7 linked regions of the Rattus norvegicus genome follow. The protein of the gene in region 1 interacts with the protein of each later gene in a pairwise test. Links are inferred from orthologs where the notes say so. Each region holds a gene or a part of one and is shown on either strand. Other genes may lie near its edges. The genes, in order: Krt40, Hdac4, Dock2, Atpaf2, Ccdc185, Mta1 and Sh2d4a.

What was found.
Region 2: the proteins of Krt40 (region 1) and Hdac4 interact in binary tests that used the Homo sapiens proteins (3 or more experiments, as listed by UniProt). The two-hybrid records come from large-scale screens. The link is inferred for Rattus norvegicus from reciprocal best matches to the Homo sapiens genes KRT40 and HDAC4.
Region 3: the proteins of Krt40 (region 1) and Dock2 interact in binary tests that used the Homo sapiens proteins (3 or more experiments, as listed by UniProt). The two-hybrid records come from large-scale screens. The link is inferred for Rattus norvegicus from reciprocal best matches to the Homo sapiens genes KRT40 and DOCK2.
Region 4: the proteins of Krt40 (region 1) and Atpaf2 interact in binary tests that used the Homo sapiens proteins (3 or more experiments, as listed by UniProt). The two-hybrid records come from large-scale screens. The link is inferred for Rattus norvegicus from reciprocal best matches to the Homo sapiens genes KRT40 and ATPAF2.
Region 5: the proteins of Krt40 (region 1) and Ccdc185 interact in binary tests that used the Homo sapiens proteins (3 or more experiments, as listed by UniProt). The two-hybrid records come from large-scale screens. The link is inferred for Rattus norvegicus from reciprocal best matches to the Homo sapiens genes KRT40 and CCDC185.
Region 6: the proteins of Krt40 (region 1) and Mta1 interact in binary tests that used the Homo sapiens proteins (3 or more experiments, as listed by UniProt). The two-hybrid records come from large-scale screens. The link is inferred for Rattus norvegicus from reciprocal best matches to the Homo sapiens genes KRT40 and MTA1.
Region 7: the proteins of Krt40 (region 1) and Sh2d4a interact in binary tests that used the Homo sapiens proteins (3 or more experiments, as listed by UniProt). The two-hybrid records come from large-scale screens. The link is inferred for Rattus norvegicus from reciprocal best matches to the Homo sapiens genes KRT40 and SH2D4A.

Annotation. Positions count from the first base shown.
Region 1 is NC_086028.1:84,996,099-85,000,343, reverse strand, and holds the start of Krt40 (keratin, type I cytoskeletal 40), read left to right. Parts: upstream 1-1,445; coding exon 1,446-1,892; intron 1,893-3,230; coding exon 3,231-3,313; intron 3,314-3,619; coding exon 3,620-3,776; intron 3,777-4,245. UniProt on the Homo sapiens protein: May play a role in late hair differentiation.
Region 2 is NC_086027.1:99,998,638-100,002,137, forward strand, and holds part of Hdac4 (histone deacetylase 4), read right to left. Parts: intron 508-3,500; coding exon 253-507; intron 1-252. UniProt on the Homo sapiens protein: Responsible for the deacetylation of lysine residues on the N-terminal part of the core histones (H2A, H2B, H3 and H4).
Region 3 is NC_086028.1:19,336,470-19,339,969, reverse strand, and holds part of Dock2 (dedicator of cytokinesis protein 2), read left to right. Parts: intron 1-2,441; coding exon 2,442-2,579; intron 2,580-3,500. UniProt on the Homo sapiens protein: Involved in cytoskeletal rearrangements required for lymphocyte migration in response of chemokines. Activates RAC1 and RAC2, but not CDC42, by functioning as a guanine nucleotide exchange factor (GEF), which exchanges bound GDP for free GTP.
Region 4 is NC_086028.1:45,717,708-45,721,649, forward strand, and holds the start of Atpaf2 (ATP synthase mitochondrial F1 complex assembly factor 2), read right to left. Parts: upstream 2,801-3,942; 5' UTR 2,667-2,800; coding exon 2,507-2,666; intron 1-2,506. Other genes in the region: Gid4 (glucose-induced degradation protein 4 homolog), read left to right, coding at 3,429-3,617. UniProt on the Homo sapiens protein: Plays a role in the assembly of the F1 component of the mitochondrial ATP synthase (ATPase).
Region 5 is NC_086031.1:96,965,943-96,969,692, reverse strand, and holds Ccdc185 (coiled-coil domain-containing protein 185), read left to right. Parts: upstream 1-1,237; 5' UTR 1,238-1,259; coding exon 1,260-3,125; 3' UTR 3,126-3,250; downstream 3,251-3,750.
Region 6 is NC_086024.1:138,034,415-138,037,914, forward strand, and holds part of Mta1 (metastasis-associated protein MTA1), read left to right. Parts: intron 1-404; coding exon 405-557; intron 558-712; coding exon of another isoform or gene 713-796; intron 797-3,012; coding exon 3,013-3,044; intron 3,045-3,363; coding exon 3,364-3,500. UniProt on the Homo sapiens protein: Transcriptional coregulator which can act as both a transcriptional corepressor and coactivator. Acts as a component of the histone deacetylase NuRD complex which participates in the remodeling of chromatin.
Region 7 is NC_086034.1:26,173,175-26,177,398, reverse strand, and holds the start of Sh2d4a (SH2 domain-containing protein 4A), read left to right. Parts: upstream 1-1,424; 5' UTR 1,425-1,466; intron 1,467-1,653; exon of another isoform or gene 1,654-1,744; intron 1,745-4,224. UniProt on the Homo sapiens protein: Inhibits estrogen-induced cell proliferation by competing with PLCG for binding to ESR1, blocking the effect of estrogen on PLCG and repressing estrogen-induced proliferation. May play a role in T-cell development and function.

The sequences.
Region 1 (4,245 bases):
CACATACATGCATATCCATGCATACACACACACACACACACACACACACACACACACATACACACGCACAGTGGACTTTTATTGATGCTGAAAGCAATTTTCTCTGTGTAATTTTTGAAAGTGAAATAAAAACCACAATTAAAATCAGACAACATGAAACTCCAGTTTATAGTTATAGTAGAGGTGAGATCCTAGAACCAATGTCCATCTAGTTCTGTACCAGAGGTTCTTAACTCAGTGAAACTGTTAGCTGAAACAGACATCACATAATCATATTCCCAACATCCAAATATTTTTCATTTTCATGAAATTGAGACTTTCCTAAATAAAAAAGAGGAGACAGACTCCATATTTTTTTAAAAGTAAGATTTTTGTGGCTTCCTTGGCTCTATTCCCAAGTATAATGGGTAAGGAGCTCCGTCACAGATTACAGCTAAACCCTCATTGCAATTTCTCTCTCTGCTCTCCTTAATATAGGTAAGGACTGGGACTATAGGTTGAGGTAAATCAATTATGTGCCATGAACAATACCTTATGATTGATCTCCAACTTCAAAGGAAGGAAGAAGGGAGGGAAGGACGGAAGGAAAAAGAAAGAAAGACTGCTTTTCAAAAACAGCATAACGCTTCTAAAATGTAAACATGAGAAAGCAAAGCTTGCGTGTCTGACTATCCACTCAGTGCACATCCAATCTCACCAACTAAGCAGGGTTAGGCATGCTTAGTGCTTGGCTACAGACCACAAATTCTAGATGACCAAAGATCGCAATTCAGATCTTGATAACCAATTCATAGTTTGACTCAATTATTCTCATCAGTCTATAAAATGAATGCACATAATTTGCACTCAGCATAGACCTTTTCCTGTACCATGTAAGCACATACTTCAAACTCACTAAAAAAAAGACACTTCAAGATTGAGATTGCTAACCGCCATTTTTACAGTGGTTGGTAGCACAAACAAATACAATTTAATAAGCTGTGATGTCCATTTGTAAAGTAGACAAGAGCAATCAATTTTCAAAATCAAACCCTGTTGGAATATTACTTTCTGTATCTCCAATGATCTCTACCTTTAATTACTGATGGCTCGATTTTTTTCTTTGGTTCCTTATTCATTCAAAAAGGTAGTGCTTCCTATGGCCGTTTGCTGAAATAAGAATTTTTATCCAAGCAGCATGTGGAAATGGCGTTAGTCCTGATTTAGTAACCTGAAGTTATCCTCCTTTTACGAGGCATACAACTTCCTCCGTAAATAATCAACACTAATGAGATGTTTGTAGGAAAGCTGGCATCTGCAAGGCTAGAGAAAACATCGGTGTGTCCTGTAAACACTCATTTGAAGGGAGATATAAAAGTCTCAGGAAGCCAAAAGTCCTAGACCTTTGGGAGACTAGGCGAGACCTAAGCAATACACCATTCAATCTGTTCATTCCTTCTCAGAAGATGGCTTCCGAAGGCTCCCCTGACTGCTGCTCTTCTGAGCCCTATGCAGGGGCATCGAGCTGCACAACTGCCTCATTCTGCCCCACCAGCACAACTTACCTTCCCAGCACCTGCGCCACATCCAGATGTCAAACCCCGAGCTTCCTCTGCAGGGCTCACCTCCCGGCCGGTTGCCTCTCACCGTGCTACTTGACTGGCGGTTGTAACAGTCCTTGCCTGGTGGGGAACTGTGCATGGTGTGAAGAAGGGACGTTCAACAGTAATGAGAAGGAGACCATGCAGTTCCTGAATGACAGATTGGCCAGCTACCTAGAGCGGGTGAGAAGCCTGGAAGAGAACAATGCAGAGCTGGAGTGCAGGATCCGAGAGCAATGTGAGCCCGATGCCACACCGGTCTGCCCGGATTATCAGCGGTACTTTGACACCATTGAAGAGCTACAACAAAAGGTTGGGTGTCTCACTGCCCTAATGTTTCCCAATGTTCTCTGTTTTCCAATTCTGTTTTCTCTCATAGCTGTACTAGGGCAGGTTGCTTTGTGGATGTAAAACAAAGGAAAGGGGGATTCCCAGAGTTAGTTCAAATAATCAATCTCATTCTCAGAGAATTATTGGGTGACTATAGAAATGTCACCTTGCTGTAGACTTTGTCTACACTGTGAAGGAAATTGAGTTATGACGTCTTCTAAACCCCATTCTTCATGTATCATTGCGTGTTTATATTCTTTATCAAACAGATATTGAATGCCATCCATTTGAGTTCTGGAAATCGTTCTCTATTTGTGTGTATGTGTGCAAAATGTGGGGTTGGTGGGCGACGTGATATATGATCGTGTGGGGAGGGAACACATGCCTGAGTGTGGGTAAGGAGGTCTGGGGTCCATGGCAAGTACCTTGCGTTCCTCGCCTTGTTTTTGAGACAGAGTCTCTTCTTGAAACTGGAACTCACTGATTTAGCTGCAGTCCCTGAGGCCTGGCCAGGGAGCCCCAGGGATCTTACTGTTTCCACCTCCTTAGTACCAGGGGTTAACCGACACTGAGTATTATACTTACCTTTTTCACATGAGCTCTGTGAGATTGAACCCAGATCTTCCTACTCGTGTTTCAAACCCTTGACCAACAAAGCCACTTCTCCTTTTTTAATTGATGGATTTCTGTGACCACAGAGATGCAATTCTAACAAACACTAGCAGTGTGGGAAACTTCAACAAAGCTCAAAAGCCAGTGATGGTGACAAAATGCCCTGCATCACTGATAAAGGAAACCTTGAACCCCAGAGACGGCTCAGCAGTGATTAACAACATTGTACTGCTCATGAGCACCTGAGTTCAGTTCCTACCATCCAAGTGTGGCAGCTCACAAGCACCTAAAACTTCTCACCTTCTTCTCACTGCACAAGGCTACACTCTTACCAACATACAGACACACTCAAATGTGTACACTCTCATGTGCATACACATACTCTTAAATATACACGCTCACCTGCACATACACACACACACACACACACACACACACACACACACACACCTACACATACTAAGAAAGAAAAGGTGAAATCCTTCATTTTAGGAAGGGAAGGTCTTTTGCTTCTGTATTTTGTTTCTCAATTGGCACTGAATGTTTTTTTATTCTGTGAAGTGGCACAGTTAATAGGAATCATGGGTTGGAAGAGACATTATGTTAACTTGGAAAGACTTTCATAAACTAATGAGTGGCAAGGCTGTTAAAATAGATATGTGGATTTCTTCTAAAGAGCTCCTCACTAAATGATGACTTACCTCTTAGATATTGTGCACGAAGGCAGAGAATTCTAGACTTGCCGTGCAGGTGGACAACTGCAAACTGGCTGCCGATGATTTTAGGTCAAAGTAAGTCAAATTATGTTTATTTTGTTAAGCCACAGTGTGCTTTGTGTATGCAATTTACACGTTAAATTTTAAATTTAATTATAAAATAATAATTAACAATAATTAATGTCTTCCAGTAAGAGAGAAAATATTTTCTGCATAATATATATTTTTAACTGAGAATGTTTGAACCCTGAACTCACCTTCATTTGGAATGTAAGGAAAATTGAGGCGTGTGACTCTCTGGAGGCCATGTGTCATCCAACCCTGCATCCCAGTACTCTGAGCCAATTAAGCCACTTCCCTCCCTTTCTCCTACTCTGAAAGGTATGAGAGCGAACTGTCCCTGCGCCAGCTGGTAGAGAATGACATCAGTGGTCTTCGTGGGATCCTGGGTGAACTGACCCTGTGCAAGTCAGATCTGGAGGCCCATGTGGAGTCTCTGAAAGATGATCTACTTTGCCTTAAGAAAGACCATGAAGAGGTGAGTGGAGTGGCCGCTGGGCCAAAGACTATAGGAGGAGTTCTGTTGAGAAATCTCATGTGTATAAATTGAACAGGGACAGACACTGCCTATACTGGAACAAAACTAGAGACATTCTCACTGTGTAGCATGATTGCCCCAGTGTCTCTCAAGGTAGATGTGATGTACAGCATGCATCATTAACATAACCCTCATCAGTGGCACGGAGGTGAGGTCACTCTTTTTCCTGCCATTGCTTGGGTTGAGAAGTAACTCAACTCATGGTTTTTTCCATAGCTCTATTGTATAACAAGGAAATTGAGCTGATAAAACTGACTGTGTATCCCCTTCCAAAAAAGGGATAAACAATCACACAATACTTGGAATCATGTTTGTAGGTATTGTGTGTTTATAATTTGATTCTGTCATAAGCTATTAAAATGAGAAGCAGATTGATGTAACAAAGAAAAAATTTACTCTTTGAATATTT
Region 2 (3,500 bases), on another chromosome or scaffold:
AACACTTGTTTTGGGGTTACAATCTACAGCCTCCCATACCAGAGGAAAAAGTGCAGGCCACATGATGGAGACGGTGTATGCACTCCTTCAGAGGGCAGATGTCGATGTGCATGTACCTGAGAGTGTACAACAAATACACCCTTCCTCCCATGAGGGCAGTAAGATAGATGGCTAGGGTCAAAAAGCGACTGTCTGTGATTCAGAGGCCAGGAGAGGCTGAAGGTCAAGCTGCCTGCTCTCCTCATTCCACACCTGTCTAAAGAGAAGCTCCTGTTCAGTGGCTGGGCGCTGGCTGGGTTCCGCCTCTCGAGTGGCCTCTACTTCTTCCTCCTCACTCTCGATGGGCTCCTGCTTCACCTGCACACCAGCTAAGGAGGGCTCCTTCTGCCCAGGGAGCCGATCTAGGTAGGGCTCATCCAGCAAGGCCTGGTGTTCACGGAGCTCCTCCTCTGTCTCCTCCGGGTGGCTCTCAGGCTGCCGAGGTGGCTCACTGGGTTTAGAAATCATCTGCAATACAGAGGAGACAAAGGAGGTCAGGACAGCCGTGGCACTGGAAGAAGTTCCTCCACCTTCCACAGCTCAGGAATGCTCTACCAAGGACCTGTGTGATCCAGGGCCAGCAGGTACCATTTACCCACACAACATGGACCCTAGCAGTATCTGAGACACACAGGAAATGGTCTCAGGGCTAAGGTAATGTGACCTGCAGACAGAGGTAGACAGATACTAGGTACCCAGTGCTCATGCAGTGTTTTCGCGTGTATCAGGTAGGGAAAACTAAGTTAGGTTGCAAGTGTCAGCTCAATGTGCAGAAGTGAGGAAAGGTAAGTTCAAGAGAGGCCAGTGTCAGTCACATGGCCACAGATGCTGAGAGTAACATCCCCAGATGCCACCTAGCAGGACATACTGTGGCTGGAGAAGGGCAACAGAGGCAGATGTCAGTCACCCTGTGGTAAGAAACCAGTACAGAACTGGGAGGGTCGAAAAGTCCTCAGAAGCTGCCTCTCTGAAAGCTTAGGGAAGTACCAAATAGAAAGGACCTTGAGGACATACCATCAGTCTGTGGGGGACACTACTGGTGGTGCGCCTTCAAAAGTATGTGCCAAGCTCCCCAGCTAACTTTTATGAAGCTACCACACGGCTGTGAAAGCAAGATTTCTCCAATTATGTTCTGAAAGCCTAGACTGCTCAGGGGATCTTATGCCTAAAACCCCAAGACACAAAGGAAGACAGTGGAAGCCAGGGAGACACTGACCACAGGGCACTGCTTCTTACTGGATAGATGAGTTCCGTGAGAAAGGTGACGGTGGCACTTGTCCTGTATCTTAAGCATGCTGAGTATGAACATGCATACAATGGGGTGGTTGAGTGAAGTCCTACACATGTGAACTGGCATGGCTGGGATTGTGTCATATTGTATTCACGCAGACCAACACACTGTACACTGTAAACAGCCTCAATAAAGCTAGGTGAATAAAGCCCACGCCAGTTTAGTGAGCTGTCAATCCTCTCTCCGGCTGATGGGGCAGACTAAGCAAGCAGGCTTTATCAAACATGCATTGCTAAGTATTTGTTCCCCTGTACAGTTTGTGATGTGCTAATGGCACCTTACTCCCAGGTATCCCAAACTCCTAACTCTGACTTTGGGCGGGGGAAGGGTAAGTGACACCATTCTAGCAAGCACCAGGGGCAACAGGTAACTGTTAACAGGATGAGGTGACCTGGGTGTCTGATGTCAGGTTGCTGAGACTGGGCCCTTTAGGTCAGTCCTATGGCAGGGATGGAAGGGACAGAGTATCTTTAGATGACATGGAGGAAATTCCCTGGGGAAGGTGGCTTCATCTGCTAGGGAGTAATAGCAGAGGACAGAACAAGAGAAGCTTGGATGGGCCTCTGGAACAGGCCACCATTGCACAGCAGCTTACAGGTAAAAGAGGAAGCAACAGGGCTAGGAATGCAGAGACAGACCCTGGGGCTCAGAACACAGCAGAGGGCTCAAAGGACTTCCTTTGGGCCCTGGGTGGAGAACAGCAGGGAGACAAGCTGCAGTCTGGCTAGAAAGGTTGAAGTATAAGCACTGGGATGCAGATGGCAGGTCAGGCCTAGGTCAGCTACCTTCAGATAGAGCCAGAGGTGGAAAGGCGGGCCTACAAGGACAGGTGCTCAAGCAGTCAGAGTATGACTGAAGCCCTTTCTTTATCCCTCCCTACTTCGTCTGTCTGTAGTCGGTCTGTTTGACACACACACACACACACACACACACACACACACACACACACACACACACACTCGGGGTCAAGAATGGCAGAAAGGTATTATCGACGTATGGCTGACCTGCCCAAAGTGACTGGGCTCTAAGGCAGTCAGGTCATTGTAAAGGCTCAGTTCTAAGTGGTTACAAGTGCCAGGGATAGTAGCCCATGATAGTCAGAAATCAAAATAACTGCTAAAAGCAGGCCGTGACAGGTAAGGACTGTCATAGGAAGCGTGCAGGGTGTCTTCTGAAAGGAGGAGGCAGGGTAAGTGTGCTGTGGGCAGACAAGCTCCATTCCAACATCTTTATTAATCAACATGGAGAAAGATGTCAGAAAAGCACACACGGCCATTCACCTCCCATCTACTGCTAGGTTAAAGGAGAAACAGAGAGAGGGGCCTTTCTTCCCAATACCCTTCTATGAACAGCTGAGCCCTAGTACCCTCACAACACTCTCTGTCTTATGGCCCTACAGTCAACCCCTAATAACTTCTGTGCTCCTTTCTGGCTTGAACATATCCTGTGTTCTGTTTAGTGTCATTATCTCTTCAGTGTCTTTGTACCACCTATGGTTCTGAGTACCTTCTGTTTTTCTTAAGGTTACAGTTCAAAGTACTCCACTGGACAACATTCAAGTTCCCTAAAGGCTGGAGTCTACCTTGTTAACCCAGGCAGGAACACTGGTACTGACACATAAAATAAAGGAACGCCCACTTAGAACCCCGGGCTCAATGGCGACTGTGGCTTACAAGGGGACCTCTAGGAAAGTTGGGGGGAGTACTAGTACATGGTTGTGGGCAATTCTACTAGCTGTGCCTGATGCTGAGAAGGCCTCAGGCTTCTTGCTTTTAGTTCCCTGTCAAATGGCCCCCACTGCCAGGGCAGGCTTCCCTGTTTCCTCTCCAGGTTGGGTACAGTTTGCTGACAATGTGAGAGCTCACTGGTGCCACGCATGCTGCAGCCTTGGCATGAGATAGGCAGGCAGAAAGTCCAGAACAAGAAGCAGGGACAGGAAGGCTCTCAAGGGGCTGCGGCTTGGCTAGGCCTCCCTCTAGAGGATGCCTATCAGGAATGCTGCCATGGCAATAAGGGCCACTGAGAGTCCTGTCACCAGTGCAGAACAGGCCGTGGCCTGCAGTGGCTGGGCCACTCTACTCAGCACTGACGCAGGTGCTGGTGCAACTAGGCTTTGGGAGCCACAGTCAGAAACAGCACTCCCTTTCCCTCTCTGACCTCATCTTTGCTT
Region 3 (3,500 bases), about 66 Mb from region 1:
AGAAGTAAAACACACAACTCATCCTATTATGAGTCCATCTTCTTTTTCATACCCTTAAAATTCACTGGGTTGCCTGACCTATCAAAGATTTGACGTTCTCTAAATTTTGCCTTGTAAGTATATAGCATACAAATAATAGATCCATTTATCGATCCGTCCTCCTGTTGGTAAATGGGTGTACATTCCATTCCCTCAAGGTACATGTAAGAGTAGAATTGCTGGTTCATTCAAGTCCAGCCTTCCTGGATATAAGAAACAGTTTTTCAAGGTGTCCGTACCAGCTTCCCTGTTTGCCAGCAGACCTGAGGAGAGTCTGAATCCCTCTCCGTTCCCACTCACACACATACATAATCACTCACATAAAACAAAAGTTACCCTTAAAAATTATTACACCATATTGTGTTATCCTTTCTGATCCTCAGAATAGATGGCAAGGTAAACCTCAGAGGCTGTACGCATAGACGGAGACTGAACAATGCCCTTTTAAATGACAGAGGGATCGTTGAGGATGTGAGAAAGGACATTATAACAATCCCTCGAACCGAATAAAAACAGAAGTACAATGTACCCAAACCCATGGGATTTGGCAAAATGTCTATTGTGAAAGAGTGGCGTGCTCACACAGGAAAATGTGTATTCCAAAGCTCTGATGGAGTGTTCTGTGGATGTTGAAGTCTAGCTGATCTGTAGTTTAACACCCATAATTCTTTGCTGGCTTCTCTTAGCCTGGTTGGCCTGCGTGCTTGTCACTGGGCATCCTTGCCCCTCCCTCCTCCCTCTTCACACCTGGAGATTGATGACCAATTTCCTGTCTTATCTAAAGTGTAACACTAAAGCCATATTATCTTTATGGAAGACTCCTCTGGTAATACTTTTAACGGAGCATCTTAAGCTTTCCGTAGACTTTCCTCCACATCCGTCTGTCCCTTTGTTCCCATGCTCCCTATCCTGCCTGTTAATTTTGGGTGAGTTTTTTGCAGTGCCTGGTGACCCCTGCAGATTCCTCCGAATTCCCAGTGAAGCTAATTGGAATCAGTATGCCAGGGAGAAGGGTCATCTGTCAGCAAGGTGGCCTTATTGCCTGGCAACTAAGTGACCCCCACGTTTGAACCTGCGCACCTACACGGGTCACTTGTACTCTCTAGAAGCAGATTCTTCCACGTGGTCAGCGGGAAGATGATCTGGTTGCCACGCTGGGCCATCTGGGCGCCGTGCAGTGGTCATCGCTCCACTCCTAAGCCATTTTCTTTTCATCTGCTTGTTTTCAGTCTGGGGGCGGCTGCTCCTCCCCCCTCGTACCTTCGGGTACAGTGCCCCCTGAGTCCCAGGTTTCATGATCTAGTTGTTTTAGAGGACAAGTTTCTGGTTCTTGAGAAAGGAGGAGCGCATTACACCTAGCTGCAAGGTGAAGCGATGGGCACCTTGGGCATGGATCTAAACCTCAGCTTTCCCGGGACAGCCTTGCCTCTGCCCCCCAGTGCCTCCTTCATTCCTAGAAGCAGGATGGCCTCTTCTAACCACCAACTCCCTCCTCTGCTCTCGAAGGTCAGTTACAGCCTCCAGCTACCTTCCTCCTGCCCATGCGCGGCACGCTTACAGCTGAGTGCCCATCTCACTGCAGAGTGTGTGTCTCCCTGCACGTCTCGTCTCTCAAGACAGCTAAGAGAAGGAGACAGAAATGGCTTTACCCCACCCTGGTGGAGATGCTCGTTTCTCTAAAAAGGTTCTATCCCCTATCTTGGCTGTCTTAGCTATTTTACCAGAGGGCCGTGCAATTAAGTTTCTCAAACTTTCCTTGGAGCCTTGAGCCCTGCGGCTCTGTTCCTCCCCTTCCAGGTCTCTGAGGTTCCGTGCTCTGACCTCCTTCGTGGATAAGACAAACTGTGTCTCTCTCTACCCACTCTTCCCTCATCTCATGTCTTCCTGGGGTGTGGCAACACTGTCTAGAAACTCTCTACTAATAAAAGAACTTTCTGATACCAGCACACTCATAGCAGCTATGAAAAGTATAATTGGGCCCCACGGTGTAAGAAGGGGCTGTGGCCTCTCTTCCCTTCTCGCTCTTCCCTGTTGCCTGACTTCTTATCTTCATAATTTCACTTTTTTTACTCCTGAATACTTCTTAAACAAAACTGTGAGGCAAAGCCCTGGAGAGTCCCTCTTTCTGTTCTCTGAACTCCGACACGTTGCAGAGTTTTTTGAGGACTCAGACTTCCCCATGTCTGTGGCTTCTAATGCCCGGGACAAGGACAAGTCTGGGTAAACTAGAGCATCTGGGGTCATTGTTACCCTCCATTATAAATCCCAAGGCTATACCTGTCCAGGGACCATGTGGGTCTCGGAGCACCTGAAGGCCCTTGAGGAAGCGTTAACAAGTCAACTTGAGCTCCTGAGCCAGCCCCCCTTAGCTGAGGGCCATGGCTTGCTACCTCTCTCTTCAGATCCCCTTCCTGGGAGCAGGAATTAAGATTCACGAGAAAAGGGTGTCAGACAACCTGCGCCCCTTCCATGACCGGATGGAGGAGTGCTTCAAGAACCTGAAAATGAAGGTGGAAAAGGAGTATGGTGTCCGAGAGATGGTATGAGTGATCCCTGTGACTGGGGACGGGGAGGGTTGTGGGAATAAGAGCTGAAAGGGGCTGGCCATGGGGGAACTTTCCTATATGCCTAGACCTTTGAAAATCACCCCTAAAGGTAAACCAGTCATAATTGGACCTATGGAACTATCGCTTACTCAAGAGAATGTAGTTATAAAGGCTACATTAATGGAACACCTACTACGTGCTCAGCCTTCTATAAATACAGTTGATATATATCAAGTGATTAATATAAGCAGATTGTGCAATACTTTTAAAGTCCATATATATATGTATATATACACACACACATATATATATTACATATACACATACACATATATACACACACATATACACACACACATATATATATACACAAACAGATATATACATACACACACACATATATATACACACAAATAGATATATATGTACACACACACACACACATATACACACACATTATATATGGGTAGATTCCATGTGTTTTCAGATTACACTTTCAACTTAACAGCAGACTTAGCAGGATGTGACCTCATACACTGAGGAGCTTCTGTACGGAGGCTTTCAGATGAGGCCACCAATCACGAGTAGCTAGGTGAGGGTCACACAGGGCGAGGGAGGAGAGGATCCAAGACAGGGAACTTCCGTGTTATCAGGACACATCACCCTCTGGCATATTGGCATGTGATCACCTACCAGGGAGCTCACTAGAGCTCAAGTGTGGAGAATCTTTCCAAAGCTTGCACTACTCAGCCAGGATTGAGTGAATCATTAGTCCCGGGCTGGAGGTTCATCTCTGTTCCTTGTCTCCTCTCTGGAGGTTGTGTTGATAATATGTGACTCAAAGTCTTATCCCTGTAACAAGAGGGTTGGTCTCTCTGGCACAGGCCAGCCCCATCCCAAGCCCTCTCATTAGCA
Region 4 (3,942 bases), about 39 Mb from region 1:
TCTGGAGCAGAGGTCAATACTCTAGGTTGTTCTGGCCAATATAACAAAATCAGACAATATGTATGAGTATGTGGCTGTGTTCCAATAAAACTTTATTTCAAAAGCAGGTAGAAGTCTGGTCCCTGACACGCCTATGAGGATGGCAAAGCAGGCAATGCCTCTAAAGTGGCAGAAACTTGGAGAAGCTGCCTTGGACAGAGGGGCAATTTGTACAGGACTTCAAGCTTTTATTTCTTTGGGAATTTGCCCCAAATGCTGCTTCTCCAAACTACATCTCCCTCTGGGCAGAAAACAGGAGGGTGGCCACAGCCTCACAAAGGTCTCTGCACCACACTACCTCCTCCTGTAATGCTGCAGTGAGCCCTTCGAATGTCCCTCCTCTCCACACAACCTTCCATGGTGTGGCTGTCCCTCAGAGACCTTGACAACTAGAGTCTTCATCAAGAAGGACTTAATAATTTATATGCTTCAGAGATACACAGAAACATCTCACACCTGGTGAGGACTTGGAGAGCAGAACATATCCTAGGGAGGCAAGGCATAAACAAAGACATTCGGGAGGTCACTAAATAGGCAAAGGGTTAATTTAAACGAGTAGACACTTTTTGTTTTCCAACATGGAAGTGCTTGATCTGCCATCTTTTCTTTTGTATACAGACTTACCAGTTGGCTCTTAGCGTTATCTAGCACATAGTAGGTAGTCAAATGTGAAAGAAAATAGGAATGTATGAGTGAGGCACAATGAGATATGTGGAAGTCAAGCCCTGTTCTCCTCCCCCTCCCCCATGACCCCAAGTGATCCTATCTCAGACTCCCAAGCAGCTGATACATGTGTGTGACACCACTAAGCTTCTTCCTAGCCCATTTTTAGGCCTTCGTTTATGTCCTGATAAGTAAAAATCAGCTCCCTGCTGCATCCACTCTTCTTCCACTTATATAAGATTATGGGTTATAGACCATGGAAATGGCTCACCATGTAAAGACACTGACCACAAAACCCAATATCCACAGTTCAATCCCTGAAAGCCACAGCCAACCCCTGCTAGTTGTCCTCTGACCTCCATGCACATGCCAAGGGCATATATACATATACATACTAAGTAAAACAAAAAATTATGGAATTTACAGCCTAAAGAATCCTTAAAAGCAATCTCATGCTTCAGATCACCAAAGAAAACAACATCATACCTGCCCAAGACCACAGTACCTCAGAAGTTTAGCCAACAAGAGACCCAAGGTTTGTACTCTTCTGCCAATGCCAAACTGCCTATGGAATTGTTGCCTAATGAGGGCAGTGTTGCAGCAAGATCTCTAACACCCAGTCATCACCTCTGGACATGCTACACCCTTTTCCTCCCCCAGCAAACTCTTTTTTTTTTTTTTCCTTTTCTTTTTTTTCGGAGCTGGGGACCGAACCCAGGGCCTTGCGCTTGCTAGGCAAGTGCTCTACCACTGAGCTAAATCCCCAACCCCCCCAGCAACCTCTTACTCATCTATCAAGCCCCAGTTTGAATGCCCTTTCAATCACCCTGTACACACTCATCCTTGTGATCTCTCAAGTCCTTCGTACTTCCCACATCAGTGTATTGCAAACTATTGTTTAGTGAGCATAATGAGTCCTGCATCTGATGTTGCGTACCATTCAGGTGAGACCACGTGCCCTCAACACAAAACATGTAACCCAACGAAGGGAGGGAGGCCATCATTACTTTTCATTCACCAAAGTGAACCTCACTGGTAAAATCTCACTCCAGAAGCAATGAGATAACCTTCTTTCAGGATTACAGTCCTTAGTAGGTCAAAGAAGCCTGGTATAAAGCGTCACTATAGAGAAGGCTGCAGAGAATGCAGAGGTCGTGGCACTGCACTAGGACAGAGGGCCTGCAAACCCTTAAGGAAGTGTGTGAGGGTGTTAGACTTAAAGCCAGCCTGCTCTGTGCCAAGTCTTGTGTTGGCTGGGTCCTGGAGACAAAAAGCAGTCAAGCTAATCTTTGCCTCCACAACTTCAACCAGTCTGCTCTGTGACCTTGGAAGTCCTGATTGAAAGCCTAGATTTTCCTTTCTGAAATCAACGAACTCCTGTTTCCCTTTAAAAGGAAAAAATTGAACCAGGTGCACGCCTGTAATTCCAGTACTCCGGAACTAGAGGTAGGAGGATCTCAGAGTTCGAGGCCAGCCTGATCTATAGAGTGAGTTCCAGGGCAACCAGGGCTACACTGAGAAACCCTGTCTTGAAAAATGAAACAAGCAAAAGGCGAAGAAAAAGAAAGGAAACTGAGAGAAGCCTCAGCCAAATATCTCCTACCCTGGAAACGCTGTGTCCCCTAAAGTCACTCCCGCACTGGTTTGGATGTCATTTTTCAAACTGAAACAGAGTTCTATTACTCTGAATATTCTCATGGGCCTGAACCCTGCCTCAGTCACCCCGCACTGCACGTCGGAAACCTTCCGCCAGGTGAGCCCGACTTGGCTCCTGAACAAAAAGTAACAGAAGTCCGGGCCTCACCTGTTGGCGGGACGTAGGCCCGGGCTGGAGGCCTCAGAGCTGGCCCCGGCCACAATGAAACGGTGGGGTCACCGAGAGGCCGGTCCAAGAGACCGCGCCACCGGTCCCTCAGCCGGGGGTAGATTCGCCACATCATGCCCAAGGGTTTGGGTGGACCCATACGTGAAAACAGTACAGGAATAGAGCGAAGAGAGTCCCCCAAACGCCTCGCTGGTTCCGTACGGAAACCTCTCACCAAGGGTTCAAAGCCCTCAGCCTCCTCAGCACGCCGCCATCTTCGTCATGACACCTACGGCACGCCGTCACAGCCACGCGCCCCCTGCGTACCGCCCCCGCCCCCGTCAATCAGCATCACAAGCGTGCTCGCCCCGCCCCCTCCATGCCGCGCTACGGGAAGAAAACTACAAGTCCCAGAGGGCCATTCGCGCACCGCACCACGTGCTTTCTCTGTCTGCCAATGGGCGGAAGCGCCGCGTGAGCTTGCTCCCGCCTCTCCGGCGGGTCCGCGCCAATTGGAAGCAGTAGAGTGTGTGTGTGTTTGTGTGTGTGTGTGTGTGTGTGTATGTGTGTGAGTGTGTGCGCGAGTGTGTGTGTGTGTGTGTGTATGTGTGTGTGCGCGCGTGTGTGTATGAGTGAGTGTGTGCGCGTGTGTGTGTGCATGTGTGCGTGTGTGTGTGTGTATGTGTGAGCCCGCGAGGGCAAGTGGGAAGGGGAGCCCAGCTCAGGACTGGGAGGCCCTGCTTGCAGGTCTCGGGGTCCAGGTGGCGACACGAGCGCTCGGTCAGCCGGCAGCGGGCGGGTGGTTCCCCAGCCCCTCCCCCGCGCGTGCGCGCCCGGGTCCGCCCTCCCCGCAGCTTCGGCTCCCGCGCGGCGGCGGCGGTTCCTTCCCCCTCCCCCAGCCCTGGCTCCGGGGGACCCCGCGATGCCGGTCCGCACCGAGTGTCCCCCGCCGGCGGGTGCCTCAGCCACATCCGCGGCTTCACTCATCCCGCCGCCGCCCATCAACACCCAGCAGCCCGGCGTGGCCACCAGCTTGCTCTACAGCGGCTCCAAGTTCCGTGGCCACCAGAAGAGCAAGGGGAACTCGTACGACGTAGAGGTGGTGCTGCAGGTGAGCGCCAGGCGGCAAGGCCCGGCCCGAGGGCCTCCTCGCGGCGCTCACGGGCCGGGCCTGCCCTGGGCTCCTCGAGCCCTCAGCCGCGGACCAGGCCCTCACTGCCGGGGCCTCCTGCACCCGGCGCCTCCCACCGGGACCTGCCCAGCTGATGTCACACTCTCGAACCCTACCCCTAACCCACCCCTAGACTCAGAGCCTGTAGCGGCCAGCCTCCGACAGACCCCGAAGACTGTCCCACACTTGGAGCCTTTGACTCTCCCGCTTGGGATCCGGAAGCACCCCCATGACTAGCCGTCCTTTAGCCTGGGTCGGTTCTTCC
Region 5 (3,750 bases), on another chromosome or scaffold:
TTCCACAGGAACCATTAGCACACAGAACCCACGGGTTCAGTTGCATTGTGGGGTCAGACCACATTTTACAGTAGCTTTCAATCTCCCAACAAACTTGGAAAGAGGGCTCAAGCCTTCATTTGGCAAAAGGCCACATTCTGAGACACACAATGCAGTCCGTTGAAGATTTCACTGCCAGATAAAAAGGAGACTGATTGTTCTCAGCATCGAGGGGATGATTGGCAGCTTAGCATTCACAAAATATCTCTTTCATGTGCTCCTGGGAACCCTGGCTTGACTTGCAAGCCCGGGCCTTCCAAGGAGTCATACTGGGATATGGAGAAGCAGGTGTGCTGTGCTGGCCCAACTTCACTTGGCTGAACACAGAAGATCCAGAGTCACTGGCCCCTTGGCAAAGGGGAACGAATCTCATAAAAGTGATGGGGGGTGAGGTGGGGGGGAAGACAAACGACAAATAAATGAAATCTTCTAGGGGCTATTTGAAAACAAAGCAGGCAAGAGTCATATTTAGATAAAAAAGCAAAGCTGTAATTCACACATTAGAGGAAAATCAGAATTGCCTGTTGCAGTTCTAAAGTTCACAAAGGTAAATGTGAAAGCATCCTTAGGGTTCGCTAAGCCCAGACCAGTGTGGTTCAAGGGCTGCTTCCTTTCCACACCTTGCATGCACAGATGAGGATCAGTGAGGTTGGTGAGATCTTAGCCTGTTAAAAGCACTTGTCTCAAAGCCTGAGTTTGACCCCTGGGACTCACATGGTGTAAAGAATCAGTCAACTCCTACAACTTGTCCTGAGCTGCTCATACGCCGATCATGGCGTATGTATTCGTCCATACATACATACACACACTAGAACAAACATAAAAATAAAAAGAGATGTGACTCCAAAGGACTAGCAAGATCCTCCTTCCTGGACACTACACTTTGCCCCTCCCTCCCACTACTTTCTATTTTTAAACTGGCGCCCTCGGCCCGGCCCGGGGGCTCCCACAATCCACTAATTCAGGGACCTGAAACACCGTTGCTGTCAAGATTCTCGTTTCTAAATACCACCCTTGTTTCCAAGACGTCCAACCAGCTCGTCAAAGCCCGGGTACACTGAGGCCTTTAAAGACCATGTGGCACCAGGATGCATTATGAAGTGGCAGAAGCGTCACAGGCCACGTGGATCGCAGGATTTGAGCGTGGGCTGGGTGTCCACAGTGGCCCCCTGAAGGTCCGCTGACCTTCCTGTAGACTCTGGGCCAGCCAGGAAGGGAGCATGGCCGGTTTCCATCTCTTCTCCCCAAAGCCCTATGGGGAGCTCGGGGAACCCTTGGCAGCTGGAGAGCAGGAGTTCGCGGACCAGCTAGGCTGGCATGAGCTGTCTCGGAACTCCTGGGCCCAGACTGCCGGAGCTGAGATCGAGACCGAGGTGCCCTGGGTGCACCCGAAGTGTTCGCCCGCCGGGCGGTCCCGTCGGCGTGGGTATATTGCCTCGCCACGAGAAAGCCACAGCCTGACACATGTGGCTCGCAGACCCTCGGACCGAGCCAGGAAGCACAGGTCTGGGAACCTCCGCCTGGAAGAAGCCTGCGGGATGGGGGAGGCACCGACCAAGTCCAGCAGAACTTGGCAGCAGAAGCGGCAGCAGCAGCCACCGGATCAGCCCAGCCCACGACACCCTGCAGCCCCGGGAGTTTCGTCCCCGCAGTACCCGGGGGAAGCTTTCAGCCCCCCGAGTGCTGGGGCTTTGCTTGTAGAAAAGACACACAATGGAGACCGGTGGGCAGTACCGGTGTGCAGACATGTAGGCCCCGGGTCCCCTGCCTTGGATCTCACAGACAAGTCCTCTGTGCACTCCCTAGAGCTCTGGAGGCAATCCACTTGTGTGTGCACCCAGAATAGGAAAAACCGCGATCGGACTAAGTATTACCCGCCCTCTGCCTCCTGCAAAGAGAAGAGTAGCCAGCATGCTCGGGTCCTCAAGAGCAAGTTGGACGAGGCGGTGATATCTTTCAGGGACCAGAAGATCTTGGCCCTGGTGCTGAGCAGGCTCAAGAAGGCTCAGAGGATGCGAGAGCTGCAGCAACAGGCTGCAGTCGCCTGGGAAGAGCTGAAGCGCTCAGACCAGAAAGTCCACCTGACCCTGGAGAGAGAGCGTAGGCTGTTGCTGCTGCAGAGCCAGGAGCAGTGGCAAGGACAGAGGGAACAGCACAAGCCTCGGAGGGGCCATAGCCATGAGCAGCCTCGCCAGGGCCACGAGCAGCAGGGACAGCGGCGGGACCGCCAGGCAAAGAGCACGGTTCAGCCGGAGAACCAGAGTGGGTGGACGATGCAACCTGACAAGCCAGAGAACCAAGGCCTAGACAAGATGGATAGGGTGCAAGTGCAGGCCGAGCACCTCAAACACTGTCAAGCGCAGAGTCTGCGGGAGCAGGAGAGGGTGCTGCAGAGTGTGCGGGACCTGAACAGGCTGCAGCTGCAGAAGAGGCTGGAGACAGCAGGTCACAAGAGGGAACAGCATGCGATGGAGAGCCCGAAGAAGGTCCAGGGGAGCAACCTGAGTACGGTTGTTAACGTCCAGGCCCGCAAGGTTCTCATGGACTGCCAGGCCAAGGCGGAGGAGCTCCTCAGGAAGCTGTCTCTGGAGCAGAGTTTCCAGAGCTCTCAGAACATGCAAGAGGGTCTGGTTAAGGAGCGGCACAGAGGGCAGCAGGGGAAGGCCCAGACTGAGGCAGAGCAGTTCCAGAGAGTGAAATGGCGAGAGGAGGAGGCGGAGGAGTTGCTCCAAGAGAGCAAGCGGGTGCTGGCAGAGCTGGCTGAAGAGAAGATGGGGCAGGCCAGGAGTCATGCGCACAAGACCTCCAAGGACAGGGCGCAGCACCTGCAGGAGCTGAACATCCTGCGGGAGAGGAACCGTCATATCTTGAAGCTGAAAGCGGAGAAGGAGGAGAAGTGTCACATTGAGGGCATCAAGGAAGCCATCAAGAAGAAAGAACAAAAGTTAGAGCAGATGACCCTAGGGAAAGATCCCATCTTCCAGGAGTACCAGAAGGTTCCCCTAGCCTCCAAGATAAACCGCTGCTATGACAAGGGGGCAGCAGAGACCCAGCTGCCCCTGCACCAGCAGGGTGGAGTCTACTGAGAACCCAGGAGGAAGAAGGCACAGCCCAGCAGCCAGAGACATCGTCATGCAATTCCGTAAAAATCCGATTTTAATCGAGCATTGATTTTTAAAAAAGTATATACAGTAGCTGCATTTTCCTCCCATGGATTAGTTCATCGATTCTCTCGGATGCTGTAGATGTGGTTGGGGCAGGTGACGTGGGGCGGGGGCGGGGGAGGATACGAAATCTGCTTGGCTTCGTGGGTTTTGAGGTGAAATACCTCTCAGGGAATGGAGAATCACACATCAGGCAGGAGTTGGAGGAGCCGGAGACGAATGCACAGTTGGGAGTAGGGTTTTAGGATGTGACTTGGTAAGCCTTGCCGCGTGTGAAGCGGGAGGAGCCTCCCAGGGGAAGCAGCAAAGGTGGGCTGGGAGAATCTCTAAGCAACTAGAATGGAGACTCTGGTCTAGTGCGATCCTTTCTCCAGAGCCCCTGGTACATTTGTAAATGTAAACGCCTACAGTATAGACACTCATTTGTAACCTAGCACTTGCCACGGACCATCACCCCATTCTTCTTCTTCCTATAGAGTGATGTTCTGTAGTTAAATGCTTTTTTCTTTCTTTTCCTTTCGTTCTTGTTTTTGTAAATGGCTGCCTA
Region 6 (3,500 bases), on another chromosome or scaffold:
CTTTTGTGGGCAGGTCCTTGCTCGGGCCAGGCAGGCAGCTCAGTGTCTGGCCAGTAGCCAGCCTTCTGCCATCAGACCTGGTGGCCTGGGTGTGGACGCTGTCTGATGGAGCTGCTGTGTTTATGGGCTGTGTCTGGATCTTGTAAGCTCTTAGCACTTACCCAGCTGTCCTGTCCAAGGCATTGGGCGAGGCTCTACTTGGCTGTCACGCTTCCTGAACATACCCTAGGTAGCCTTCCTGCTCCAGTGCTTTGATCGCTGCTCCAGTGAGCTCTGGTAGCATAGGGACTGCCTCCTTCTAGCCTAATCAATCGATGGGCTCGGGGTAAGAAGGTGTTATTACTGCATGGAAGCTATGGTGCTGCTATTTCTGAACTACACCCTTACCTCTTCCATTCCCACAGAGACTCATCCCCGCCCGCCTAAGCCCGACCCTGTGAAGAGCTCATCCAGTGTGCTCAGCAGTCTGACCCCTGCCAAGTCAGCCCCTGTCATCAACAATGGCTCCCCTACCATCTTGGGCAAGAGGAGCTATGAGCAGCACAATGGGGTAGATGGTGAGTCTGAGCTTAAGGACTGGCCCTGTGAAGAGACCAAGGCAGGTCTGCTGGGAGCTGCAGGGCTGGCCCTCTAAGGAAGTCAGGCCTGAGGGCCAAGGGACTAGGGCTAGCCCTGGAGCTCCACGTGACCCTTATTCAACTGGCTGTCTTAGTTGATGGTGTTTTCTCTCCCTCTCTCTCCTGTTCCTGGGCACTGCCAGGCAACATGAAGAAGCGCCTCTTGATGCCCAGTAGGGGTAAGGCCTGGGGCGGCCGCTGGTGGGGTGCTGTGGCCAAGTCCTGTCGTGATGCCTGTGTGTACTGTCTGCTAGCAGACTGGGCGGTTCAGGGCACGTACAGGGGCAATCCACACAGACCCGGCCACAGCCCATACTTCCTGTAGACTCGTCTCTTGGAGGAGGGCCCAGGAACCCTGGGTCTCTGGCCGTGGCCTGTCTTGGCCTGAGCCATGGGTGGACTGTCCTTGGACGAGGCCCCTGGTGCCCCCACTGCTATCGCGCTGTGACTGCTCGCATGCCTTCAGCCTTGCTTGTAGGGCGGCTAGTGCTACCTGCAATTTTTGTGTGCCCTGCCTGATGGGGACATTAGGGATGGGTTGGTGGCTAAGCTTACATACGGCCCTTGTGTCTGCTGAGGATTAGCTTGGAGTCTGCTGATGGGGTAAGGGTTGTGGGGCACAAACCTGCTCTGGGGATGAGGGATAGCACCAAGTCTGGATGTCAGTGTGGGAAATACTAGCCAGCCAGCATGAGCCTGCTCAGGCCCCTCCCCAGCTATCAAGACAAGAGCCCAGGAGGTAGCAGTGGGCAGTGACTATCTCACATACCTTATTCCCTCAGGATACTCCCTCTCAAGGTTGCTTTGGAAGCTTGCCAGCTGTCAGGTACCCAAGCAGGCATATCCCTTTAGTGTGGCTATGAGACCGGCCATGCTATGTACACCTCAGTCCAGGGGCCCAGGCATGGCCTCCCAGACCTTGCTCTGGTTTCAACAAAGAGCTTTTCATTTTCACTGAACTTTTTTAAAGTCTGTCATGAAGACTTGGGTATAGAATGTAGTAGGAACTCATTGGCCCTGTGCGTGCTCTAGGCAGCTCCCATGTCAGGGGGCGTAGCCACAGAGAAGTGGCTGTTGTGAAATTGTAAAACTAGGCCTCAGTCCTGGAAGTAGCCTAGGAGCCACAGGCTAACAAGTGGTGCGCCTCAGGCCTGGCCTTGCGTAAATAAGCAGGGCACATGGGAACTCTGGGCAAGGTGCTAGCCCCTGGCACCCAGGGCTCTTAACTCACTAACCCCTGCCCCATACTGCCTGCTGCTCTGCCCTGCGGCTTAGCTGCCACGTGCATGCCGCTCACTCTAACCCTGGCCTGTGTCTTCTCTCTCTGCCGCCTCATCCCTCTGGCAGGCACTTACCTGGGTAAGTAGTCCCTGTGACAGGGCTTTGTGTGGGCACAGGGTTGGGGTCCCACTAGGTACTGTGAGCAGGCTGTCCCTGTCTGGGTGCCACAGACCAGGAAACGGTCCCTGGGAGCCAACGAGTTACTAGGGAAAGGCTGGAGCCAGGGTCCTGGAATAGGGCAGGTTGCAGGTAGAGGACATGGGGCAGACTGTTGCTTCTTAGAGACAGGCAGGCTGTAAATCTCACACTTGGGAAACTGAAGCCAGTAGGATCTTGGGTTCCAGGTAGCTGGGATACATGATAAGGCCCTGTCTCAAAATATTTTTTTAAAGAAGAGGGAGCTCTCCGATGAGTGTGTGGAACTTGGTGGATTGTCATGGGTCCAGTGGCATAGCCAGGCATGGTAGAGGAGTCCTGTCTTGTTCCCTGCCTGGGGCCAAGCCATCCAGGGACCTGTTTGGCATACATGCTTACACATGGCAGCAAAGCTGGGGTACAGCGCTTGCTGATGTGGACCGCAGCTGGCACTCCTGCTGGGGTGGGATGCGAGAGCCTCAAGTTTGCCCCTCTGCCTCATTCCAGTGACATCTCAGTGTCTTCTTAGACCCTCAGCCTACGAGTATGCTGCTGTCACCAGAGATCTGTTTCCTACCTAGCATCTGCTGTTAGTGTTTTGAGCAACCAGCAGACAATTGCTGCCCTAAGGATAGAGATGACAGCCTGCAGCTGCTCTCGATGTCCATAGACTTCACCTGTCTGTCATAGCCTGTGTCTGAGGCCTCTGGCCTCCTACCTGGAGCCCAAGTTGCCAAACTGCTGTACCTTCTGTGGCATATACATATATATGTGTGGTCCGTGGGGTTGGCAGGGCTGTGGGCCCACCTGGGCTAGCGAAGAGCATCTTACGGGCCCGTTGTGTGGGCTTTGGTTGGAGGGGTGGCTCATGAGGTACATGCCCACTTCCACTCTCATGGACTTGGAAGTGTTCCCAGTCAGTGTGGATGCTGAATGCCCTTCCCCTGTTCTGGCCTCACTTTGTGTTCTCTTTTATCAGGTCTGGCAAACCATGGACAGACCAGGCACATGGTAAGAATGGGTGACTGGAGACTTGGCATGCTTCTGTATGTGCACACATCCCTCAGGGTGTTGGGGAAGTGGCCCGGGTAGCTCCCACTCCTCACCAGGTACCATGGAGAGCATCTGGGAGCCCTAGCCAGACCTAACAGACAGTGTAGACCCACTGCATTCAGGTCTCTACAGCCCTCCAGGGGCTGCCTACCTGGGCTGTGGGTTAGCTATGGAACCTTGAGGCCTGGCTGCCCATGAGGCTGGGGGTCTTGGGCTGAGGGTTATAAGGTAAGGGCAGGGTACTGTCTTCCTGTGCTCATACATTTGTTTACCACAGGGACCAAGTCGGAATCTCCTGCTCAATGGGAAGTCCTACCCCACCAAAGTGCGCCTAATCCGAGGCGGCTCCCTGCCTCCAGTCAAGCGGCGGCGGATGAACTGGATTGACGCCCCAGATGATGTATTTTACATGGC
Region 7 (4,224 bases), on another chromosome or scaffold:
CTGCTAGGCAGAGGACAAACCATTCTAAAGCACCTCATCTGGCCACCTGATTCAGTGCTGTGGAGAGAAAGCTTTAAGCCAGGAATCCTTGCCTGAGTGTATCACAAGCACCATTCCTAAATGGCTAAGTCTTGTTTCCTCAGAGTGGAGGGTGTAACTCCTGCCTGTAATGTTTTCCAACTTAAGAGTTTTTCTGGAGGAGTTAGGGGAGGGACTGAAGGAGCTGAAGGGGCCTTATCTGGCATCAATAGGAGCCTGTGAAGGCTCAATGCCCCAGTGTAGAGGAATGCTAGGGTGGTGAGGCTGGAGTGGGTAGGTGGGTAGGTGGGTAGGGGAACACCTTCATAGAAGCAGGGTAAGGGGGCATGCAATAGGGGATTTGCAGAGGGGAAACCAGGAAGGAAGATAGTATTTTAAATGTAAATAAATAAAATGTCTAATTTTAAAAAGTTTTCTGTGGTTGCGAAAGCCTACGGTAAACAACGTTTGGGTTCAGCACGTCAGGCTCCTAAATCGATTGGATAGGGTGTATAAAGTCACACCATGTTTCTTGTTTATAACAGTGCTCTCCAATCTCCCCAGTCTGAACTCCTGTGTCATCCCTCCCCACCCCCACTCATACACACCCCCAGCCCTGTTTTCTTCCACACATGCCCAAGGTTCCTCGCCTGTGGAAAAGGCTGTTCCACTTTTCCACTCTGTTCAGCTTTCTCCCCTCCCAGATAAGCTTAGGCTTCAGCAGTGCCCTGTGCCACCCTGGTCCTGATCACAGGGAACTTCTACCTTTTTTCCCCTCAGGTTTCTCTCCCTGGCTGCCCCTTTCCCTAGAGCCTGCAACATTCCAGTCTTTCTCTTCCTTGAACATGCCTTAAGCCACACCTGGAGTAACAAATGCTTCAGAGTTTGATAATTTACTTAATGTCAACAAAAGAGAAGGAAAAAGTAAGCTGTAGAAACGCAGTCACAGAACTGCAGCCAACTTGGCTGCAGGACCCAGGTTCCCAGATGGACCCTGCCTGCCTGCCATTGCAGGCTCCACCTAACAAGTCAAGTGTGGACAATTGTAATTAGTAAGTCCCACAGACCCCCCCTGAGGTGTCAGGGCAAACTACCCCAGACTGTAGACAGCACTCTAGATTAGCCAAGGACTAGTGGCCTTGCTGTCACTGGACCAAGGCAGCCAAGCCTTGCCTACTGGCCCTGGAGCGCCTCCAGCACCCGGGAGGGGCCTTGAGGGAGCGCCCAGTCAGTCACCCCAGCATGTGGGCGCGGCGGGGCGGGCCAGGGCTGTGATCTGGACGCCGAGTGTCCTTCTGGGCCCGAGTGTTTGTCCAGACAGCCCGCGCGGCTGGGTCTCTGCGCGGCTGGGTCTCTCTGCTTGTCCTCCCTTCTCTTCCTGGAGTTGCTGTAGGCAATCTGGAGGTGGCGGCGGGTGCTTGGACCACCTTGCCCCGGGTCCTGAGCAGGTAGGTGACCGGGTCGGGTAAAACGCTGGAGCATAGAGCCAGGCAGAAGGGTGAGCGAGGAGTGGGAACCAGGAGATGCGTCTCTAGAGCGAAGGGTGAAGCACAGAGGACAGGGAGAGGAAGAGACCCTGGTTCCCGCGGCCAGGCTGCTCACCTGTCCCTCCGGTCCCTCCTCCACGGCGCTCAGGGCGAGCTCAGGTGCCCAGAGGAACAGACCACAACGGCTGCGGGTGTCCGATGTCTCGTGTAGGGTGTCCAGTGTCTGCAGCCGGGTCCAGGTGAGTGGCGGCCCCAAGAACAGAGGGCTTGTGATCATTATACTAAGAGTCTCCAGAGGGAGGAGAATCGGAGGCGACTTGGAGTCTTTCAGGAAAGTTGTCCCGTCCGGGCTGTGCATGCACACGCGGCGAGTGCTAACTGGCCTGGGGCAGGTGCACAGCGGGGGCCACCTGCGAGGGTCTGAGCCACGAAGAGGGTGCTGGGTGTCGGCTACAGTACCCACAAATCAGCGGAGGTCCAATCACTGGGCAGTGCCATGTGGTCTCCTGGCCCGGAGACCTTCCAGACAAGAGTCCTGAAACCGGTTTCAGCACAAGCAGAACTCCATTAGTAAGTTCCCCGCGCTCCCGCGGGCGCCCTCACGTGGTACAGAGAGCAGCGGGCTCGTCGTCTCTCTGTGGTTCTGGGTCAAGGCTCAATCTAGAATCAGCCTAGCCAGAATTTTCCTCAACAAAAGTGAGCCATTACCAACCGTTCCTGCCTTAAGGGGTTCATGGGCCCTAGGTGGAGGCACTCAGTGTTTATAGGTTTTCTCAATGTCTCTCTTTGCTATGGTCCCAGAGAAGCAGGGATGACAGCCTCTTGCTTGTGTAAAGAAACAATGTATTTATAATTTTTCTTATTTAATAATAAGTGGAAGAAATACTTAGGCGAAGATTTAGCACAAATAGGCTTTTCTAGGAATATCTATCTATGAAATACTTCAATCTTGAGAGTATTTACAAAACTTCCAGCTCCTCTCACCACTTGCAATTCATTTTGTTTCCAAAATCATCATGTAAATTAATAAGAAAAATATTGAGCAATTCAAAGCCTGACAACAGAGAACGCAAACTAAGTTCTTACCTTTAGGGATATATGTACTGTAAATACAGAAATATTTTAATGAAGGTAGTTGTACCCAGAGTTTAATTATTATCATTATTGTTATTATTTATTAGGCTCTGTATTAATTAAAAACAATTGTGAGGAAAAGTGGAAAGTGTGAAAGTCAGACAAGATCTACAGGTATCCTGAGAACTTAACTAAATTTTGGACTCTTCAGAAATTTTTAGAGTGAGTGACAGGTATGGGCTTGTTCCCTGCTAGTTGTCTTTTTCAAGAAAAATGCCACAGGAGAGGAAAAACAAGTTAACTGGGCTGTACTCTGTGTTGGACCACGAGTGACTGCACTCAGTATGAGACCCACACATCACCAAACAGTGATTGTCCGGTAACGTGAAAGTAGGAAAACCCCTGGCAGGTTCACTTCCTCCTTTTCATTTCCTGTACTTGTCTCAATAGCTTCAAGGCAGATTTTATCTCAGGATCCAAGAGCTACAATGATCCTCAGGTTAGTTTTATGGATTAAGAAACAGGGTCTAAAGATGTGAAGTGACCTTCCAAAGTCATGGGTCACTGGAGGCAGAACCGGGAATCTAAGCTGGTGAACCTGTCTGTAGCTGTGCTGTGGTCTGCTCTAGGAAAGCCTTGGAGAGCTGGTTAACTGACATCACTCAGAGCCAATCAGCAGTCCAGTTCGGTGCCCATAGTCAACAGCCACAGGCACTTGTTAGCTGGGTTTCTTTTGTATTCCCTGAGGCCACCAGGAACCACGGTATTTTCTTCAAAAGGGATTAAACTGGCCCTGGTGGTTAGGGTCTATATAATCCCAATTATTTGAGAAATAAAGACAGCCAGTGTGGAAAGTCAAAAGCCTGTTTAGGCTAGGTTATATTAAAAACTGGCCTGGACAATTTAGACTCCATCTCAAAACATAAAGTAAAGGGGGCTGGGGGTGCAGCTCAGCAGCGGAGAATTTGCTTGGCATGTGCAAGGGTCAGGTTTAATCCTCAGACCACAAAACAAAACATGCCAACCAACCTTGATGCTTGAAGTCTATGTTACACAAGCTACCCGAAGCAAAGCAGAACAAAGAAGAGAGTTGCGCACCTCTTTACTGGAGTACCAGGGAAGGGAATGTTGGTGGAACAAGGCAAGTGGAGAGTAAGAGGAAGACAAAGTCACCACTGGACCAATGCGGGTAGCAACTCTGTGCTCCTTCCTGGATGGTGTATTTTCTTCTGTGGCCTCTCTAAGCTTATCTACACTTGATTACCGTAGGCTTCCGCACTAGCTGAGGTATCTCCAGTTTTAAAGTTCTCTTCCCAAGGACATTTTCTGATCTTTGTCCGGAAAATTTCAAAGTGGCACCAATCACTTCCTGATTCTGGACTCAGGAGTAAACTTGTAGCAGCCAGTCTGTGCAGTGGATACAGTAACTGCTGTGCTTCCCCCTCACTGTCTTCCTCAGTTCCTCTTGGCACTACAGTGGAAGGAGTGAGGGACTTAACTCTTGCTGAGTGCTTATGGTAGTGCAGGAAACAGTTAAGTGTCCGTTCTGTTATCAGAGAGCGCCTGGAGCCAAATCATTCCTGGAGGAATGTGCCCTTGGCTCTTTGAGGGAGTTAATTTTCAGTTCTCTCTGATCCTTCAAGAA